Oryctolagus cuniculus: one gene and its partner. The protein of the gene in region 2 binds, or shares a complex with, the protein of the main gene of each other region. Links are inferred from orthologs where the notes say so. Each region holds a gene or a part of one and is shown on either strand. Other genes may lie near its edges.

Evidence for each region. The genes of interacting proteins can lie anywhere in the genome.
Region 1: the proteins of FGF23 (region 2) and FGFR4 are in contact, whole or in part, in a cryo-EM structure (PDB 7YSW), measured with the Homo sapiens proteins. The link is inferred for Oryctolagus cuniculus from reciprocal best matches to the Homo sapiens genes FGF23 and FGFR4. Residues at the interface, in NP_065689.1 of Homo sapiens: Leu32, Gly33, Ser35, Trp36, Gly37, Tyr43, Ala45, Thr46, Ala47, Arg48, Asn49, Ser50, Ile75, Arg76, Ser77, Glu78, Asp79, Ala80, Gly81, Val83, Val84, Tyr93, His117, Gln118, Thr119, Asn122, Gly123, Tyr124, Asp125, Leu158; in NP_001341913.1 of Homo sapiens: Glu156, Lys157, Lys158, Leu159, His160, Ala161, Val162, Pro163, Asn166, Asp240, Leu242, Glu243, Arg244, Ser245, Pro246, Lys272, Val273, Tyr274, Ser275, Asp276, Ala277, Gln278, Pro279, His280, Ala308, Asp309, Ile310, Ser312, Gly336, Asn337.

Annotation. Positions count from the first base shown.
Region 1 is NC_091437.1:63,113,251-63,123,373, reverse strand, and holds the end of FGFR4 (fibroblast growth factor receptor 4), read right to left. Parts: intron 10,043-10,123; exon of another isoform or gene 9,874-10,042; intron 8,443-9,873; 5' UTR 8,409-8,442; coding exon 8,318-8,408; exon of another isoform or gene 8,304-8,317; intron 7,718-8,303; coding exon 7,454-7,717; intron 7,365-7,453; coding exon 7,284-7,364; intron 7,184-7,283; coding exon 7,017-7,183; intron 6,391-7,016; coding exon 6,267-6,390; intron 5,808-6,266; coding exon 5,617-5,807; intron 5,515-5,616; coding exon 5,376-5,514; intron 5,061-5,375; coding exon 4,867-5,060; intron 4,775-4,866; coding exon 4,629-4,774; intron 4,541-4,628; coding exon 4,419-4,540; intron 3,257-4,418; coding exon 3,146-3,256; intron 3,055-3,145; coding exon 2,864-3,054; intron 2,543-2,863; coding exon 2,420-2,542; intron 2,339-2,419; coding exon 2,268-2,338; intron 2,136-2,267; coding exon 1,998-2,135; intron 1,761-1,997; coding exon 1,655-1,760; intron 1,576-1,654; coding exon 1,429-1,575; 3' UTR 959-1,428; downstream 1-958. UniProt on the Homo sapiens protein: Tyrosine-protein kinase that acts as a cell-surface receptor for fibroblast growth factors and plays a role in the regulation of cell proliferation, differentiation and migration, and in regulation of lipid metabolism, bile acid biosynthesis, glucose uptake, vitamin D metabolism and phosphate homeostasis.
Region 2 is NC_091440.1:105,067,742-105,077,864, forward strand, and holds the end of FGF23 (fibroblast growth factor 23), read left to right. Parts: intron 1-2,491; coding exon 2,492-2,595; intron 2,596-4,354; coding exon 4,355-4,795; 3' UTR 4,796-6,619; downstream 6,620-10,123. UniProt on the Homo sapiens protein: Regulator of phosphate homeostasis. Inhibits renal tubular phosphate transport by reducing SLC34A1 levels. Up-regulates EGR1 expression in the presence of KL. Acts directly on the parathyroid to decrease PTH secretion. Regulator of vitamin-D metabolism.

The sequences.
Region 1 (10,123 bases), on a different chromosome or scaffold from region 2:
GGGCTGCGGAGCGGGCTGGGGGTGGGGCTGCCCAGTCCTGGGACAAGTGCACCAACAGCTCACACGGAGTCTGCATGGCGCCTCTCCCAGCGCATGCGCACCCAAGCCTTGTTCATCCGAAACCCTGCGCCCTGCTCCTGCGGGGCGGAAGTGACGGTGCCGCCCTCAGCACCACAGCTGGACACTGGAAGCGGCAGGATCGGGACTTCCTGGCTCCAGGTCCAGGGCTCTTCCCACCCCGTTAGGAAATAAGAGCTCCTGGGGTAAAGGAAGTGGTCAGGGAACTCCGTGGTTTGTGGCCGGATGTCTGCTCTGAGACGGGGGCGCCCTGGAAGAGGAGGGGTTCAGTCTGGGACATGGAAAGCCGGAGGGTGTTGGGGGGGGGGCAGTGTGCGGACCCAGAGGAGGGAGTGCAGCATGGTCAGGTTAGGGAGCAGCAGGATAGAGCCAGGGAAGGGTCCAGGCTGAGTCCCAGGAAGCTGAGCCATCAGAGGGGGTTTCTTAGAACAGGGCCCCTAAGGCCTCCCCAACAGAGGGCCAGGCAAGCAGGGACAGCTGCAGTCCAGCCAGGCAGCAGCCAGCTGCTGCTGGGAGACTGGCCAGGCCGGGAGTGCGGGGGGTGGGCACGGCCCCCACCACCAGCGCGTGGGAGCGAGCCGGCAGGGCTGGGGCAGGGTTTCAGGTTGTCCTGTTTTTGCTGATCAGCTTGGTTAATGCTGAACAGGTGGTGGGGGGGGGAAAGCCAGCAGCTCCCTTGGGGACAGACAAGTTGCACGTATGCATGCACACATATGTGGGCAGGGCATAGGATGGGCGGGGCCAAGGCCAAGGCCCATATGGACTCCTGGAAACCCGAGGCCTGGCACTCAGCCCCTTGGGTCTGTGTCACTCAGGAGTGCCTCCATCCTGCACCCCCTCCCTCCATGCCCCTCGGGGAAAGACACCAGGCATACACAGGTTTATTTCAAAAAACAATAATTTATAAAAAGGCCATTTGTGTCTGTGCTTTCGGCTCCCAGCCTCCCAGGGGCACAGGGGTCAATGCTCCTTCCACCGAGAGCTGGGAAGATCGGGGTGGGGGCGCTTGGGGACATAGGGTTCCGATCTCCAAACCTCTGTTGCTGTTGGGAAGCAGGTTCAGAAGAGCAGTCTGGAGCCAGGCCCAGCCAAACCCCTAAGCAGGACGCCAACACTCAGGCTACTGGGACATTGGCAGCCGAACCCCAAGGGCAGGGCCTCATGCCCAGGGCTGAACTCTGGGCTGGGAACCCGGGGCCAGAGCGCGGGAAGCCTCAACTGGACCCATGGGCTAAAGACCGACCTCCCCAGAGTGGAGTCAGAGATCTGGAATGGCACCCCAAGGTCAGGGCCCCCGGATTGCCAAGGTCAAACAGTGCTTAGATTGTGGCTGAGCCAGGAGGCCCCTGCTCACGTCTGTACCCCAGGGAAGGGGAAGGGGCTGGGCCCCAATGGTAAGGGGTCGTGACTGAAGACAGAGTCATTGGAGGAACAGGTGCTGCTGGTGTCTCCTCCGGAGGGGGAGTAGGGTCCAAAGGTCAGGCGGAGGTCGAGGTACTGCGGGGAACAGAACACGTGAGCCTGCGCAAGCGCAGTGGGCAGCAGCAGGAGGCTCGGGGCGGGCAGGGGGCAGTACCTCCTCAGAGACCGCCAGCAGCACCTTGTCCAGCGCTTCTACCAGCTGCTTGAAGGTGGGTCTCTGGGAAGGCGCCGCGTGCCAGCACTCGCGCATCAGCCCGTACCTGGGGAGGTTAGGAGCAGCCTCAGGCCTGGGGGAGGGGCCTCGTGGCCCTGGGAGGGGGAGCGGTGGGTGGGGCCAGCCAGTGGAAGGGCGGGGACCCCGCCTAGGCCTCCCCTCTGGACCCAGGAGGAGGAGGGGGAAGGGAGGGGAAGAGAGGGAGGAGGCATTGCCCTCAGGACCAGCCAAGGTCAAGGCAGGGGCTGAGGACTGGAGGGTGGGGAGTGTGGGCCAGCCTCACAGCTCTGGGGGGCAGTGTGGGGGCCGGTCCATCCGATGGCCCTCCCGCAGCAGTGAGAACAGTTCCTCCACGGGGATGCCGGGGTACGGGGAGCCCCCAAGTGTGAAGATCTCCCAGAGCAGGATCCCAAATGACCACCTGGAGGCAGGACAGAGGATCAGCAGGGCACAGCTCCCCTGCCCACTGCAGGGGGCCCAGCGGGTGTGGGCTACACAGGGCTGGGGGTGATGACCCCTGGCAGGCACCCCGACCTCAGGTCGCAGGTCTTACACATCACTCTGGTGTGTGTACACTCGGTCAAACAAGGCCTCGGGGGCCATCCACTTGACAGGCAGGCGGCCCTGGAGGGAGAGGGGTGGCATTGGTGGAGTCCCGCCAGCCCCAGGCCTGGGCCCCCAGCCCCCAGCCCCCGCCGCCCTCACATTGCTGGTTTTCTTGTAGTAGTCAATGTGGTGGACGCCTCGGGCCAGCCCGAAGTCGGCGATTTTCATCACGTTGTCCTCGGTCACCAGCACGTTGCGGGCAGCCAGGTCCCGGTGGATGCACTGGGGGAAAGGCAGGCATGTGACACGGGGCTTGGGTTTACAGGAACACATGGCTGGGAGCTGGGCACATGCATCTTCCACCCATTTTACAGATGGGGAAGTTGTGACTGGGAAAGGGAGAGCTAAGCCGTCTGGCTTCAGGGCCTGGGTCTTCTCCCCAGCCCTGCCCCTGGGTCAGGATGAACCAAATGGGGACAGGAAGTGTCAGCTGCGCAGTGCCAAGGGCAGGGGTGTGAAGCTCTGGGGACATTTAGGCGGCAACGGGAAAGGGGAGATGAGGGGGGCAAGGGCAGAGGGGCCAGAGCATGGCCGCGGCCACACCTTCTGCGACTCCAGGTACTGCATGCCGCGCGCCACCTGGTAGGCACAGGAGACCAGGGCCGGGAAGGACAGTGGCCCCTCACTGCTCCTCGGTCCTTCGGGGCTGAGGTCGGGGCCCGGGGGCCGCCGGGCCCGCAGGAACTCCCGCAAGTTTCCCTTGGCCGCACATTCCACAATCACGTACAGGGGCCCTGGCGGGGAGGGGCACAGAGAGGCCACTGAGGTCACAGGCGGCTCTGCCGGCCAGCGCCTGCCCGTGCCCCGAGCCCCGCCCAGCCGCACCTTCCTGGGTGCAGACGCCTAGCAGGTTGATGATGTTCTTGTGCTGGCCTATCAGCTTCATCACCTCCATCTCAGACACCAGGTCGGCCAGGTCCTTGTCTGAGGCGTTGTCTGCAATGGGTGGGGAAGCTGCCATCTAGCTGCTCAGGGCGGGGCGGGGGAGGGGCAGCTCTGCGGCTGCATCCCCACCAGGCTGTGCGTAACCTCTCGGAACCTCAGGGTTCACTCGTGCGGAACCCAACAGTGGATCAGCCCTCCCTCTCAGGATGCAATGGCATTGAGGATCTGAAAGAGGGAGGCCTTCCAGAGAGAGACGGGAGACGGGAGACGGGGAGAGCTGGGACAGGAAGGAAGCTGCCTTGGGAAGGGTTGGCGCTGGTCCCTCAGCGGGGGTGGGAAGCAGGCTGGCGCCCTGAGGCCTCTGTCTGACCAGGGCCTGGCATCCATCCGGCCTGGGAATTCTGGGAGCTGCCAGCACAGCTCAGAGAGGGGAGCGGCTGGAGAGAAGGCTGAGGACCAGCGGCCGGGCTCCGGAACTGACCTGCGGCCCCGGGTCAGTGGCGCAGCGCCCCCGCCCCCGCCCCCGCCCCCACCCCCACGCACGCCACTATCACAAGGCTGTTTCCCAATCCCTGCCTCCCAGAAAGTGCCAGGTGGCCCCAGCTGCTCTGAGACAGGAGAAGGAGGGAGGAAGAGGGCCGGAGGGAGGAGGGCGGAGGGGGGAGAGGAGCGGCTTGGGCTCCTTGGGAGAGGGGGCTGGGGGAAGGCAGTAAAAGGCTCCAGTGGGCAGCTCCTAGGGTCTGGCACTGACTTTACGCAGAAGTGCTGCTCTTCCAGGGTGCTGGGCACAGAGGCCAGACCTGGGAAGGGCCCAGGGAAGGCTGCAGGTGTGTCTGGGGGACCATGGGGGATGCGAGGTTCAAGGAGACCTGTGGCCAAGGCTGACACTGGCAGAACTGATGGAGGATACAGAACTCAGTCACCCCAAATCCTCACCATCATCCTTGCCCCGACGGCTAGGATCTGATGGGCCCTGACCATGTGCCAGGCACTCGCCAAGAACCGTGGGCCGGGAGGTAGGGGCCCTATTATTCACCCCATGTGACGCAAGGGGAGACGGACTTGAAAGCGACCTGCCAGCGTCAGAGCAGACTTGGACTGCGGGCCAAGGGCAGGGTCGCAGGCCTCTCCCAGCCTACCCTCCTCCCCAGGCCCCTGCTCTCCACTGTGAGCCCCACAGGTGCACCTGCCCCCAGGCTCCACACACACTCACCCTTGAGCATCTTGACGGCCACGGTGCTAGCTTGGTCAGGGCGGGCAGGGTCCATGCCGAAGGCCTCTGCACGCACCACCTGCCCGAAGCAGCCCTCTCCCAGCGGCTTCCCAAGCACCAACCTAGGTGTGCGGAGAGGCCAGCCCTCAGAGCCCAGGTGGCACACCAGCAGAGAGGCTGCGTGCCCGTCCTTGTCTCGGCTCAGTGTACCTGTCCCGGGGGAACTCCCACAGCGGGTCCAGAGGGAGGTCTAGACTCACGAGGCCAGCGAGCAAGGGGGGGCCGCTGGAGGAGAGCCGGACGCCTCGCACCAGGGACGAACTCGACTTGCCTGAGGAGCCCGACTCCAGAGAGAACTGGAAAGTAGGAGGCGTGGCTGAGCCTGCTGCAGGCAGGCTGAGGCCCTGACTCGGCGGGTAGGGCATGGGGCTGGGGCTGAGCACGGTACCTGTCGGGCCAGAGGGAAGCGGGACAACTTCTGCACCGTGGCGGGCTGCCGAGCACGCCGGCCGTGGAGCACCTGCCCTCGGTATAACCCGGCCAGCAGCAGGAGCACAGCCAGAGCCAGAGAGCCAGAGGCATACAGGATGATGTCTGTGTACCTGGCCTCGGGTGAGGCTGCTGTCCATGTGGGGTCCTCCTCTGCCCGCGCAGACAGATGCACACAGAGAAAGATGGACAAATGGACTGGTGAGTGGTCAGGCTGGCCAGCCCTGCGCTCTCTGTCTCAGGCTTTGCACATGCACACACACACATACATGCACACATACTAAGAAAGCGGCAGTCAGACCCATCTCAAACACCTATACCCCAGAAGGTGCCACAGACAGCCACGTGCAGAATGAAACCCATAAACCCATGGGCCACACCCCCCAGCCCAGACCTCACGGATTCACCAGAGACCACAATAGGGACCAAGTAAGATGGCAGCCTGCTCCGGCCCCCTAAGGCGCTCACCTGGCAGCACGGTGAGCCAGGCCGACTGGTAGGAGAGGCCGATGGAGTTGCCGGCCAGGCAGGTGTACTCGCCCGCGTCCTCGGCCGAAACGTTTCGCAGGTACAGGACTTCCACTTCGGAGCTGTTGATGTCTGCGGTCTGGAGAAGAGGGACACATTAGGGGGTGACGGCAGGGCTTGGGGCGGCCGCTGGGTCCCCCGCTCCCCAGCCATGGGTGGCAGGAGGGGAGGGCTTATGCACCTTCAGCACTTGCACATAGGGGAAGCCGTCGGCGCCAAAGCTGCTGCCGTTGATGACGATGTGTTTCAGCCACTGGATGTGGGGCTGGGCATCACTGTACACCTTGCACAGCAGCTCCACGTCACTGCCCGCCACAGCCGTGGTGTTGGCCGGCAGCCCCGCCTGCAGGATGGGCCGGTGCGGGGAGCGCTCTGGGGGCCGGGTCGGGCCGTGAACCCTGAGCAGCGGCACCCGGACAGGCACCCTGCTCCCCTGCCTCTTCCAGGAAGGCCCTTCCTAACAGGCAGCTCAAACCGTGGCCAGCGCCCGCTACCCTACTTAAACCTTCTATGGCTCCCTGCTACCTTTGGGTGAAGAATGACTTCTCAGCCTAGCATTCAAAACCCTCCAGGGCCGGGTCCCCCGTAAATGCCACACCTCAGACGGGCATCTCCTTGCAAATGCACTGCACCCCTGCACTCTGGTGCCTTAGCTGTGCTGCAGCTCTCGGCCCCCCTGCTCTTCTCATTCCCGCTCTGGGCAGACCCCCTGACTCCGGGTGTCACCCTCTGGGCCACCTGGTCACTTTGAGCTGCTTGCCCCAGCTGAGGCCCAGTCTGTGTTACCTGCCCTGCCCCCCATGCACGGCTTCCCCCCGCCCATGCGCTCACCCAGCACATCCAGCAGGTAGCTGTAGCGGATGCTGCCCAGAGGGTTCTCCACCAGGCAGGTGTACGTGCCCCGGTCCGAGGGCACCACGCTTTCCATCACCAGGCTCCAGTGTTGGTGGCGCAGCTGGGGCAGAGGAAGGGGCCGCCATGGAACCCCCATCTCCCAGAGGGGACAGGGCACGAGGAGGCTGCGTCTTGTCCACAAGCTTAGACTCTGAGGTCAGGCCAAGGGTGTAGATCTTGGGACACAGGAGAAGGCCTGGGGGACCTGAGAGCCTGCGGTGGGAGACTTTTGAGTCTGCCTCTCCCTCGCTGGGCCACCTGAGCATGGAGTGATTGCCCTCTCTGAGCTGTAGCTTCCTCTGTGCAGGCCGCACAGGAGACCTGGAAGAAGCTCCTGGCTCCTGGCTTTGGACAGGCGCAGCCCTGGCCATTGCGACCATTTGGGGAGTGAACCAGTGGATGGAAGACCTCTCTCTCTCTCTACCTCTCTGTAACTCTGCCTTTCAAATAAATCAATCTTAAAGAGAGAGAGGAGATGCCAAAGCGTCCTGAGGCTTGCTGGCCCGGGGTTCTTCCAGCCGCACAGTTGGGGTTGCTGAGCGGGGAAGGCACTTGGTGGGGTAGCCGGATCGCCCCAGTCTGAAGCCTGGTGCTTCCCAGTTGCCTTCCACATTAGATTCACAGGTGCCAGGGGCCCGGGGGGAAATGAAGTCTGGGAGCAGATGGTCTGGGACTCCACAGCCTCACCCGAATCCCTCCAATGCGGTTCTCCCCATGGAAGGCCTGTCCGTCCTTGAGCCAGCGGATGGTGGGCATGGGGTTGCCTGCGGCTGGGCAGCGGAACTTGATGGTGTTCCCGGCAGGCACTGCATGCAGTTTCTTCTCCATGCGCTGGGGGTGTGTCCAGTATGGAGCTGGGGGGGGAGGAGGTGGGCGTACTGAGTGCCCCCCACCCCTCGTTTCAGTGACCAGATGGGGCGATGTGGACACGAGTCCTGGAAGCCTCACACCGACCTTGCTGAGGGTAACTGTGCCTGTTCGGGGAGCCCCTGTGGGCCTTGGGGTCCTCAGGATCGTCACTGGAGACCGAGGAGTCTGTGTCAGGGACAGAGCAAGCATCTGAGGACCAAGAGAGGGAGTCTCTCTCCCCGGGGACCTCAGCCGCCCCCGCCAGCCCCTCTTACCATCCACAGCCAAGGTGAGATTGTGCAGGACCGTCATGGAGCCTCGAGCCAGGCAGAGGTAGCGGCCGGCATCCTCGGGCAGGAAGCTGGCAATCTCCAGGCGGCCCCTCCAGCCCCGCACCCGGCCGGCAGGTGCTAAGCGACTGCCCTCCTTGTACCAGTGGCCGCCCCGCTCAGCCCGCCTGCAGCACAGCCGCACGGGCTGCCCAAGGGCCACGGTCAGTTCCTGCTCGGGCTGTTCCAGGCTGGGGGCTGGGCAGGGTTCTGTGGGCCGAGCACAGAACGCAGTGAGCCCCGCCACTCCGATGGGAGGCGGCCCCCTTGCGTATGAAGAACATGCTGCCCACGTGGGGCCCGGGCACCCAAGGACACGTGCTGGACATGCCACTCCTCCGCACGCAGCTGTGGGCCCACGCCACAGCGCCGAGGTGGGCCACACGCACACAAGTACTTGGCACGCATGCTGGACATGCTACACTCGGGACACACGTACACACACATACACAGACACTCAAAGGCACATGCTATACGTGCCACACGTGCTGCCTGGGCCGCCAAGCTACACACTGATGCACAGAACACACACACACACACACACACACACCCACGCAGCCAAGCGCTCACCCCCGGCTCTGCAGCCCAGCTGAGGGCCCAGCGCCCTGCAAGGCCCGTCCTCTGGAGCGCAGTGATAGATAGTGGCCGCTTGCTGGGAGCCAGACACAGAGTCTCAGAGGCTGAGGCCTGCCCTGCCACCGCCTTCTCAGGGCTTGGGCTGGGACCCTCTCCGGCTCTGCTCAGCCAGCAGCCCCCTCCCAGGTTCACGCTTCCCACCCCTGCGACCCTCTCCCACCTTTGGGGCCATACCCAGCTCCACTTCCTCAGAAGCCTCAAGGGACAAGGCTGGAGCCCCAGGTGCCCCCAGCAGGACCCCCAGCAGGGCCAGTAGCACCCACATCTTCCTGCAGCTCCCAGGACTCAGGCTGGAACTCCTGGAACAGGGGGCAAAAAGAGCAGCTGCCACACGTGCGTCTGGGCCAGCGCTATTGCCCTATTTTGCAGATGAAGAAACTGAGGCAGGTTGGTCCAAGCCCCTAGCCCGGCTGTGGCAAGGCAGAGACTGGAACCAGCTCTGTTGCTGCTGCCGCTGCCGGAGCCCAGGGCCTCCCCCTGGTTGCTGGTGCAGGGGGAGCTGGGCTCGGCTTCCTGCTCTGCCTGGGTCCTGCTGAGACCCTGGCACAAGTTCACAGAAAGAGCAGTTTGGGGATTCTTTCCTTGGAGCGAGGCAGAGAATGGAGAAATATCTGCTGTTCGCTCTCAGCACACATAATTTACTTTTTGCTGAATAAAGAAATTTATTGCTGAAGAGCCAAAAAAAAAAAAAAAGTGAAATGTGATAGCAGGCCAAACGTCAGCAGCTGCATGTTGTTGGGGCTGACCCCTACCCCTAGGGTATTCCTGGCACCCATGCCTAGCAACTGGGTGCTTGCACCAACAAGGCAGCACTCCCCACGTGGAGCAGGGAGAGGGCCTCATTCGGAAGCCCCGCAACCCCACACAGGAGTTTCTGTAGACTCTAAAGTGTCAGCACCAAGTTCAAGTCTCGGCTCCCACCAGCTTGCAAGTCCTGGGCTGTCCCGCTCCAGGCTGTTTTGAGATAAAAGCGGTGATATATGTGGGGACTAGGCACGTGGCATACTGGCATGTCCTCCCCGCCCCTCTTGTCACCTGTCACCCTGGTCTGCCCTCAGCCGGTCAGCTCTGGTCCTGTCAGGTACGAGGTGCACACCCATCTCATTTGGTCACTTTCTTCCCAGTGCTACTGAGCACGTCTCTGTCCCCCCAAAGGAACACTCAGAACCAAGCAAGGGGACAGGCTGTGGTCCCAGGCAGCCACTGGCTATTCCCTGGGGCTGGGTGCCAGCCAGGTGTCAGTGGTGTCTGCAGATGCGCCTTCCTGGAAGCCCACCACATCTCTCTGCAGCCGGGTCCCCCCCTCCCAGCCCTCTCTGTATTTCCTGTCCCTCCCCGGGGCAGGCCACGGTGGTGTCTGCTTGGGCCTTTGCAAACCTCCTCTGTTCTCAGCCTCTGCAAGGGCTTTGGGAAACACACGTCTGTCAAGTGCCCCCTCCGTCGGTTAAAGGCTCCCTGCACCCTGCAGGAAGCAGTCCCCGCGGCTCGTGTGTCTCCCAGGCCCCCTCTCTGCCCTGGCCAATCTCCCTTCACGAGCACGGAACCCACCGCCTTTCAAAACCCGGCGCCTCCGTGCCCTTCATCCCTCTTCTCCATCCCGCTCAGCTCTTTCTGTGACTGAGCCCAGCCCACCCCAGGGCTCCGCAAAGCGCCCCCTCTGCCTCGGGGCACAGCTCCGCGGGCAGTGGGGTGGGGACGCCTGGGACCCCAGGCTGCCCTGACCTCCCAACCTCAAACCTTGGCCGGGTCACCGCGGCGGCTGGCCACCCGCCCGGCGCGTGGGACCAGAGCTCCCGACTCCAGCATCAGACGGTCCCGGGTTATCCAGCCTCCGCACTCCCGCGCCGGAGGGCCCTGGGCCAGCGCTGCACCTCTCCGGGCGTCGGCCTCCCCTGCTCTGCCGCCCAAGGACAAGAGCGCTCTCCCCACCCGCCCGGCCACCTTCGGGGGGAGGTGCGAGCCGAAGGGTCCCCCTCCCCC
Region 2 (10,123 bases):
TTCTGCTAGGAATCAATGCTTTTTAAGCCTGGTAGCATAATGCATGCACACACAGAGTCAACCTTGGAAACCTCAAAGGCTCACTGGGTACTGACAGGCAGTGAAGGGATGGGGAGTTCTCTCCAAATTCCAAGCAGGTTCCAGAAGCAAAGGAGATATAGCAGTATTCAGAGTCACTATTCTTGAAGCTGAGTTTGATCTAACAGCATATATTTGAACTAAATCTGGATCTACTTGATGTGACCACAGTCCTGCTCCTGGTAGTCAGTGGGTATTTAGTAGGACCCACGATATGTCTGGAATGATACAGAGAGGGAAGACAGAGCTCTTCAACAGCCTCCAGTCTGCCATCCCTTCTGCCTGCCAGTGCCTTCTCGAACTTCTAGGCAACACAGGTTTGCACCTCTCAGGGGAAGCCACCTCGGCCTCCTCTGCAAAGCTGTCTGTGATCTGAGCCCAGCGTTGTGGTGCAATGGGTTTAGCCACTGCCTGCAATGCTGGCATCACATGAGTTCCAGTTCTAGTCCTGGCTGTTCCACTTCTGATCCAGCTCCCTACCAATGCACCTGGAAAGCCAGCAGATGATAGCTCAAGTGCTTGGACCCCTGCCACCCATGTGGGAGACCCAGAAGGAGTTCCAGGCTCCTGGCTTCAGTCCGGCCCAGATCTGGATGTTGCAGCCATTTGGGGAGTGAATTAGTGGATGGAAGATCTCTCTCTCTCTTTCTCTCTCTTCCCTTCCCCCATAACTCTGCCTTTCAAACAAATAAATAAATCATAAAAAGGCTACATGTGATTTAAAATGCATGAGAATAGATGATGACACATTATTCTGACTCCCATAGAAAGAAAGGGTAGAGAACAGCTAAGGAATATTTGTTTGTTTGTTTTTTAAATTTATTTATTTGAAAGTCATAGTTACAAAGAGAGAGGAAGAGACAGAGAAAAGAGAGATCTTCCATCTGCTGGTTCACTCTCCAGTTGGCCGCAACAGCTGGGGTTGGGACAGGCCAAAGCCAGGAGTCAGGAGCTTCTTACCAGTCTCCCATGCAGGTGTAGGGGCCTAAGCAGTGCTTTCCCAGGCCATAAGCAGAGAGCTGGATCAGAAGAGGAACAGGGCTGCTGTTATGGTATATGATGCTGGTTCAAGTCCCGGTAGCTCCACTTCTGATCCAGCTCTCTGCTATAGCCTGGGAAAGCAGTAGAAAATGGCCCCAGTGTTTGGGCCCCTGCACCCATGTAGGAGACCTGGAAGAAGCTCCTGGCTTCGTATTGGCGTAGCTCTGGCCATTGTGGCCATCTGGGGAGTGAACCAATGGATGGAAGACCTCTCTCTCTCTCTCTCTCTCTCTCTCTCTCTCTCTCTGCCTCTGCCTCTGCCTCTGCCTCTCTGTAACTCTGCCTTTCAAGCAAATAAATAAATCTTTAAAAAAAAAAAAAAAGAGTAGCCAGAACACGAACCAGCATCCATATGTGATGTTGGCTTCCCAGGTGGAGGCTTAACCTGCTAAGCCACACCACCAACCCCCTACTGGGATTCAGATGGACAGCATTTGGCAGCTTCGTGGGTTTCCCAGGCAGCCGCTATGCCCCTAGACTCAGTACAGGTAATCTTTGCCCTGACATGGCTGTGACCTTTGAGCTTGGAACCAGTCTCCACGGAGGCAGAGGGCGAAGGGGTCAGACTTAAAGCTACTGTCAATTATGTATGGTGTAGGAAGCATGAATGGGTTTCGGGCCCTGGCTGGAGACCAGCCTTTGAGAGGAGACACTGAAAGACCACAAGGGGTTGCCCATGGAATGGGAACTACCACATGAGAAAGGACCAAGGACAGTCAGGAAGACCCAAGAAAAATGTTCCATCCAGCCTTGATAGCCATTCAACGTGGAAAGATAAGGCCTCTGCTCCCCTGTAGCTCACTGCCAAGGAGCTAAAGACTAGGTATTGACTAGTTAGAGCCCAATGGGTAGGGCTCCTGCTTAACATTAGCAGAGAAGGGAGAGAGAGACTTACTCAAATACAGTTCTGGACACGTGATGAGTGCTGTGGAACGCATTAGACTATTACACCGCTGGCTGGGTGGAGAACCGGACTCTACCTCCAGGCTGCACCCTTGACAGAGATCTCAGCACAGCCTTAAAATTACAAACGCAGAAGGCTTGGAAGAACATGACCACTACCACTGACAGGAAGAGGCATTAGCCAGGCAACAGGGGAGACAGAGAGGGTACAGGTGCAGAGAGAGAAACAGGTGTACAGCACAGGTGAGAGAATGCTGTGAGTTCAGAGTGCCCCACACAGCAGGAGGTGGGTGTGGCAGTGAGTGGGTGTGTGTGAGATTGAGACAGAGAGAGAAGTGGAGAGAGAGCATTGAGTGACGCCATCATCAATCTTTGACACCAACACAGGAAGGTTTTGTGAGGGTGCAAGTACCTGAAGGTGGGAATTGGAGGTGCAAACAGTCTCTGACCAGGACGCTCCTCTCCATAGGTGCCCTGATGATCAGATCGGAGGATGCTGGCTTCGTGGTGATAACAGGTGTCATGAGCAGGAGGTACCTCTGTATGGATTTCAGAGGCAACATTTTTGGATCGGTGAGTGTGTGTGAGTGTGTGTGTGTGTGTGTGTGTGTGTGTGCGGGGAGGCAGCGGTTATGGATCTGCATTTTCCAATAGTTATCTATTTCGGGAAAACAGAAAACATGGACTTTTCTGGCTTGAAGCTTCCTTTTGCGGGTGCCTTGCTCATCTGTTCTCAGCGAACACTTTTTTGTCTGATCTGAAATGTTCACATTTATACAACTGGGGTTTGAACCGCAGTCTGTCTGGCCCCAGAACCCAGCCACTCGGTCCCTTGTCTGCACTGCCCATGGGTGCCCATTCTTGTATCTAGCACAGACCCCTGTGTATAGTTGTAGGTCTTAGAGATATGTGAAAGCATGCCATAAAGCACATTAGAACGGGCAAGAAGCTAATGGTGTCTGCTTGGACCTGTTGCAAGCTGCTACCTTAACCAGTCCCCTCACTTTCCCAAACTTCAGCTTTTTCACTCAGAAAAAAAAATGTGGTGGAGTGGCCCACATGATTAGGGAGCACCTCTGTCACAAGTCTGATCGCTGGTCATTCAGATTGGCAAGCAAGAGGTTCCTCAAAGTAAAGCCGGCTGGCACGTCCCAGTGGATTTTGAGATAGTGAAACAGTGGAACTGCTTATTTCAGGATTCTCTTTACCACCAGGCATACTCAGAGAGACGGCGCAAAATGGGGATTTTCTGTTTGGGTACCTGCTAAGTCCCAGTTCCTACAATATTATGTAGCCAGAGTGGATCTACATTTATTTATTTACTTACTTACTTATATTTAAGAGAGAGAGCACACACAAGTGTTACCATCCATTGGTTCCCTCACCAAATGCCTTCAGTAGCCCTTAGCCAGGAGCTGAGAGCTCATTTGGGGTCTCCTGTGTGGGTGGCCGGGACCCAATGACTTGAGCCGTCACCACTGCCTGCCAGGGTGTGCATTAGCAGGAGGCTGGAGTCAGGAGCCAGAGCCGGGCACTCCGATATGCGATGTGGGATGTGGGATGTGGGATGTGGGATGTGTCCGATCCTAACTGCCTGCCCGGAAGGACACTCTTTATCTGTGGAACATCAGAACATCTAGACGAGCACAGCTCCTAACTGTAAAACATTTACTGTGTGGAGTTTGAAAGTTAAATGAAATACACGTAAAGGCCTTCATAGGCACTCAGTAAGCCTCACTCAGTACTAGATGCGGAGTGAGTACTGGAGCCCAGCCAGCTCTCAGTAAAGTTCTTGCCATTGATCTCCAAGCCACATGCTCTCTCTGATGTCACTACTCTCACTCACTTTTGATTGTGCAAACCCCATCCAGGCAAGGACGCAAGCCCATCAGCTTCCAGCCAGGAGAGGATTCAAAAAGGTAGAGAGTAGGGGAGGAGGAGGTGACGTGTAACAGCCCTGGCTCCAAACCCTGAATGCAGCCATTGGTGTCAGCTCTCTCTGGGGTGCTGCCCAGCCCAGGTATCAAAGCCATGAGCTGTGCACCCTAGCGGCGGCCACTCCCTGGAAGTTGGGACTATATTCAGTGCTTGGGCAACCTAGAAGGCATCTGTCACCATCACTGTCCCCGAGAGGGGACCCAGGAGGTTAAACAGTGCTACTTAATGGTGTGTGGACTAAGTCAACAAGTCAAAGCTGGACACAAGAGAGCCTTCTGGGCCTTTGGGCCGGTTGGCACACAGCCTAAGGCCCCAGTGTGTGTGTGTGGGGGTAGGGTCTGGGGTCCCAGGCCCACATCCCCAGCCTTCACACACTTCCCTCTTGCCTCTCCAGCATTACTTCGACCCCCAGAACTGCAGGTTCAGACACAGGACGCTGGAAAACGGGTACGACGTCTACCACTCTCCGGAGCATCACTTCCTGGTCAGCCTGGGCCGGGCCAAGAGGCCCTTCCTGCCAGGCATGAACCCGCCACCCTATTCCCAGTTCCTGTCCCGGAGGAACGAGATCCCCCTGATCCACTTCAACACGCCGAGGCCGCGAAGGCACACCCGGAGCGCCGAGGACGCCTGGGAGCAGGACCCGCTGAACGTGCTGAAGCCCAGGTTCCGGCTGACCCCGGCCCCAGCCTCCTGCTCACAGGAGGCCCCAAGTGCTGAAGACAATGGCCTGGTGGCCAGCGACCCCTTCGGAGTGCTCCGGGGCAATAGGGTGAACATGCACGGGGACAGGATGGGCCCGGAAAGGTGCCACCATTTCCCCAAGTTCATCTAGGGATGCCAAGGGAGCCTCATTAACTCTCCTTTAGCAAACTAAACTCTGTATAGGGACCAGCTCCCTCCCTTGCCCCTCGATGGATGGGGAAGGTGGTGTGGAATCAGCTGCTGCTCTCCAGTCCTTTCTCCGAGAGTCGTCTCACCACCTTCCTCACCCCTATAACCCTACCTTTCTGAATGAGCAACCCCAACAGGTAAATGAGAAACAGGGACTCCTTCCTCCCCATTCCCTGTCCCCCTTCTATATCTCTTCCATCTCTTCCCTCGGCCTCTCTTCTTACTCAGTTTGGCATTAAGGTAAAGCAATAGCTTGGCGAGCTCAGTAACGCGCAAGGTGCAGGGCGGGAGAGAATTCCGGCAGCTTCTCCATGGATCTGAGGGTATGTGTTCCTGCCCTGATCCTGTTGGCATTTGGGTCTGCAGGACTTGCTGCTAACAGCTGGATTGGGCAAGCTGATGAAAACACGGGTCTCCAGCCTTTGTTCTTCCTCAGGCATCTCTGGAGAAGAACTGTGGGAAAAGGCAGCATCTAGGGTGCCTGGTGTCCAAAACCTCGCCGGGGAACTCAGCTTCCCTGCCGGGAGAGAGGCACCCTTTACCCCTCTCTCTCCCTCTGTGCAGCCAGAGCCAGAAAGCAAGAAATGACCCTGCTCCCAACAGGCTTGGGAGATCGCCTCACCTCTGGGCCCCATCTTTGCCCTTAGTGAATCTGGCCCAAGGACCAGCTTTCGTACAGGGTCATGAAAATCTAGATTGGTGTTACAAAATGGAAAAGGCATTCAAACTCTCCCAAGAGGCACTTTGTTAAGCCTCTCCTTCCAGACTCAATAATCATCCATCCTGGATGAATTACAAAAAATGGGACTGGGGCAGAGGCCTTGAGACGCTCGGGCTGCTCTGGGGTAGGCCGTCTGTGGACCAAAGGATCGTGTCCCTTTTCCTAAGTGAAGTGGCATTGAGGGCTCATGGGTAGCGGGGAGAAGTCCAATAACCAGGGGACTAAATTGTAGGAATTAGGAAACGATCTTGACCATGATTTCGTTCGTGCTGTGGAATAGCAGCTATTGGATTACTTTAAACACTGCTAGGCAGACACACCTGGGTCTCAATCCACTTGGAAATTTTGCGGGCATTAACTGAAGACAGCTTCCTGTCCCAGGAGCCTCAGTGTTGTACTGAGCAGAACAAAGCCTCAAGTAGGGATGCCCAAGAGCTGGGATTGACGTTGGCCCTACAAGGGGGCCTTATTTTCCTACCTCCATTTTAGCACCCACCTAAACTACAGAATACACCTGAAACACAGATCCCAACAACAGCTTCGTGCCAGTCACCACTGTCTGTAACTGCCACCATATAGGCCAACAGAGCCCTTGTCTACTCGCATTGGACAACTGCTTTTTTCCTGATAGTTTTTAGCTGAACTTGAAGGGCCAGTTCCTCTCCTGAAACACTAAAGCTGTGTATCATAGTATATAGCCATGCCTAGCAAATACTTCAATAGTGTTCATTTCCTGTTGGGGATACTATCCTGGATGCTAGCTGGTAGAGGCTCCCCATACTGACAACTAGGTGGAAAGAATCCCAAAAGGACTCGGTAGAAAAATGATTGCAATCCTACAACCTCAACACCACCATGAGGGGTTCTTCTGGGCAGAGCCAAGGTGGCCCCTATCACTTCTTTGATGTCCCTTAGCGTGTGGCAATATTTATTTATTTATTTGGAAGAATGTTGCCTGTCACTCCGTATTTATATATATTTATGAAAATGTAACCCTACTTTTTTTCTTCTGTTTAAGAGAAAAATAAAACTCATCTCAGCTTCTCATAGTGTCTGCTTTTCTGTATTACTCATGAAAGCATGTCGGGGCAAGGGGATAAAAAGGATGGTGGGGGTGGGGCAGGGCTGTGGCATAATGGGTAAAGCAGCTGCCTGCAGTTCCGGCATCCTACATGGGTGCTGGTTCAAGTCCCGGCTGCTCTGCTTCTGATCCAGCTCTCTGCTATGGCCTGAGAAAGCAGTAGAAGATGGTCCAAGTGCTTGGGCCCCAGTACCCATATGAGAGACTGCAAAGAAGCTCCTGGCTTCAGATTGGCGCAGCTCTGGCTGTTGCAGCCAATTAGGGAATGAACCAGCGGGTGGAAGACCGACCTTTCTCTCTCTCTCTCTCTCTCTTTCTCTCTCTCTCTCTCTCCCTCCCCCACTCTCCTTCTCTCTGTGTAACTCTTTCAAGTAAATAAATAATCTTAAAAAAAAAAAAAAGAAAGAAAAGAAAGAGGAAAGAAAAAAAAGAAACTGACTTGTTTCGGAAGTTTAAAAAAAATTTTTTAAAGGGATGGTGGGAGTGGAGCATTGGGGAAATCCAGAGAAACCAAAATTGGCATCGGAATTTTTAAATATTCAGATTTTTTCCCATGTATAAGCACACTAAGAAAACAAGTTTTATTAATCCAGATAGAATTATTGAAAACAAGGAAATTTTACCAGTATTAGACTTTTGATCATTCTGTCCCTAAAGTAATTTCTTTAAAGAGAGAAATCATCTTTATTTGAAAAATGCACACTGATACAACCACAGCAGTGTCTCGTAAACTTAAGACATCAGCTGAGTTGCTGCCCTGTGAGACCTGGTAGGATATCACCCAGTTCAGGAGTCTGCGCACCCTGTCCTTCCAAGGCCGGGGTTCTCAGAGCTCTCTCTTTGGTCTCCATCAGACTAGCAAAACACAGGATGCAAAGACGCTCCTGACACACTGACACGGAATTCACAGCCCTTCAAGCCATAGTTGGCTTTTCATGACCTGGTCTTAGCTATCAACTCCTCCCTTTTAATAATTAATGTAAAAGTACATAGTGGGGCGGGCACCGCGGCTCACTAGGCTAATCCTCCACCTAGCGGCTCCGGCACACCGGGTTCTAGTCCCAGTTGGGGTGCCGGATTCTGTCCTGGTTGCCCCTCTTCCAGGCCAGCTCTCTGCTGTGGCCAGGGAGTGCAGTGGAGGATGGCCCAAGTGCTTGGGCCCTGCACCCCATGGGAGACCAGGAGAAGCACCTGGCTCTTGCCTTCAGATCAGCGCGGTGCACCGGCCGTGGCGGCCATTGGAGGGTGAACCAACGGCAAAGGAAGACCTTTCTCTCTGTCTCTCTCTCACTGTCCACTCTGCCTGTAAAAAAAAAAAAAAAAAAGAAGTAGTACATAGTGGTTCACCACTTTGGTATTCAAACCACCTTCTGACCAAGTCTCCCAAGGGAATTTTCTTCTTAAGTCTCCCTTGAGACTTGCTGACGCTCTCCATTCTAAGGGCACAGGAGCACCATCCCCAGTAGACGCTGAAACGCTGTACTTCTTTGATCACACAAAACAGAGTTTTCAAAGGCTGGTTGATGTTCCTTCCGGAGTTCTCTCAAGGGATGGGCATTTGGCATAGTGGTTATTGGATGCCTGCATCCCATATCAAAGTGCCTGGCTCTACTCCTGATTCCAGGTTCGTGTTAATGCAAGTACTTGGCAAGGTTCCTGAAACCCACACACCAGAGATCTTGACTGAGTTCCTGGCTATTGGTTTTGGCCTGGCCCAACCCCAGCTGTTGAGGGCATTTGGGTAGTGACACAGCGGATGGGAGATCTCAGTGTGTCTGTTGCTGTCTCTCCCTTTGCGTGTGTGTCTCTGCCTCTCAAATATATAAATATAAATAAGCAGGAATATAGTGGGTAAAGCCATCACCTGCAGTGCCGGCATCCCATATGGGAGCCAGTTTGAGTCCCGGCTGCTCCACTTCCGATCCAGCTCTCTGCTATGGCCTGGGAAAGCAGTAGAAAATGGCCCAAGTGCTTGGGTCCCTGCACCTGCATGGGAGACCCAGAGGAGACTCCTGGCTCCTGGCTTCAGATCAGCTCAGCTCTAGCCATTGCGGCTACTTTGGAAGTGAACCAGTGGATGGAGGATCTCTCTCTCTCTCTCTCTCTCTCTCCCTCTCCCTCTCCCTCTCCCTCTCCCCCCCCCTCTGCCTCTATATAACTCTTTTAAATAAATAGTAAATAAATCCTTTACCAAAAAAAGGCAGAAGGGCCGAGTGATTCTTCATTTTGTTTTTGGCCCACTGGACCCAAAAACCCATAGAAATGGAGCAGTGACAAATAAGCTCTTGGGAATAAACAGGCCTTCATCCCCTTACAGCGGGAGGATGAAGCGATGAAGAAGAAAAAAAGAGGTACTGCGGCCATTTCTCTTCCACAGGCTTCCGGGGTTCTTTTGTTTCTTCAGGAAAGCCATCCCTGACTAAAGAAAGGAAAAGCAGAGCCTTTAACACAAAGCAATAGGTGGGGTGAGGATGGTAGGGGGTAAGGGAACAGAAATGTCAATGTCGTGAGTGTGACTCGTGTGTGTGTGTGTGTGTGTGTGTGTTCAGTTCTATATATTTCAAACTGACTGCTAGAGGCTTCAACAACCTCACCATGGGCAGATTTTCCAGTGTTTAAAGCCCAATCTTGGCCAGCACTGCGGCTCAATAGGCTAATCCTCCACCTAGCGGCTCCGGCACACCGGATTCTGTCCCGGTTGCCCCTCTTCCAGGCCAGCTCTCTGCTGTGGCCAGGGAGTGCAGTGGAGGATGGCCCAGGTGCTTGGGCCCTGCACCCCATGGGAGACCAGGATAAGTACCTGGCTCCTGCTATCGGATCAGCGTGGTGCACCGGCCGCAGCGCGCCAGCCGCGGCGGCCATTGGAGGGTGAACCAACGGCAAAGGAAGACCTTTCTCTCTGTCTCTCTCTCTCACTGTCCACTCTGCCTGTCAAAAAAAAAAAAAGCCCAGTCTTTTTCCTGTCTACATAATTACAAATCCTTGCCAAAGATGTCATCACAACACCAATATATATTTATACGGAGATTTACTGTTTATATAGATCTTTCTTTAAAAAAAAAGATTTATTTATTTGAAAGGCAGAGTTACAGAGAGGCAGAGGCAGAGAGAGTGAGGGAGAGAAAGAGAGAGGTTTTCCATCCGCTGGTTCACTCCCCAGATGGCCGCAATGGCCGCAATGGCCTCAGCTGCGCAAGGAGCTTCCTCCTGGTCACTCAAGCAGGTGCAGGGGCCCAAACACTTGGGCCATCTTCTACTGCTTTCCCAGGCCATGGCAGAGAGCTGGATTGGAAGTGGAGCAGCCAGGACTCGAACTGATGCCCTATGGGATGCCGGCACTGCAGGTAGAGGTTTCACCTGCTAAGCCACGGCAGTGACTCCTATATAGATCTTTCTTGCATTATAACTCATCCAACATTGAGAATCACATAGGTTCCTCTTCTAGTCATGATGGAGTAAATGCTACC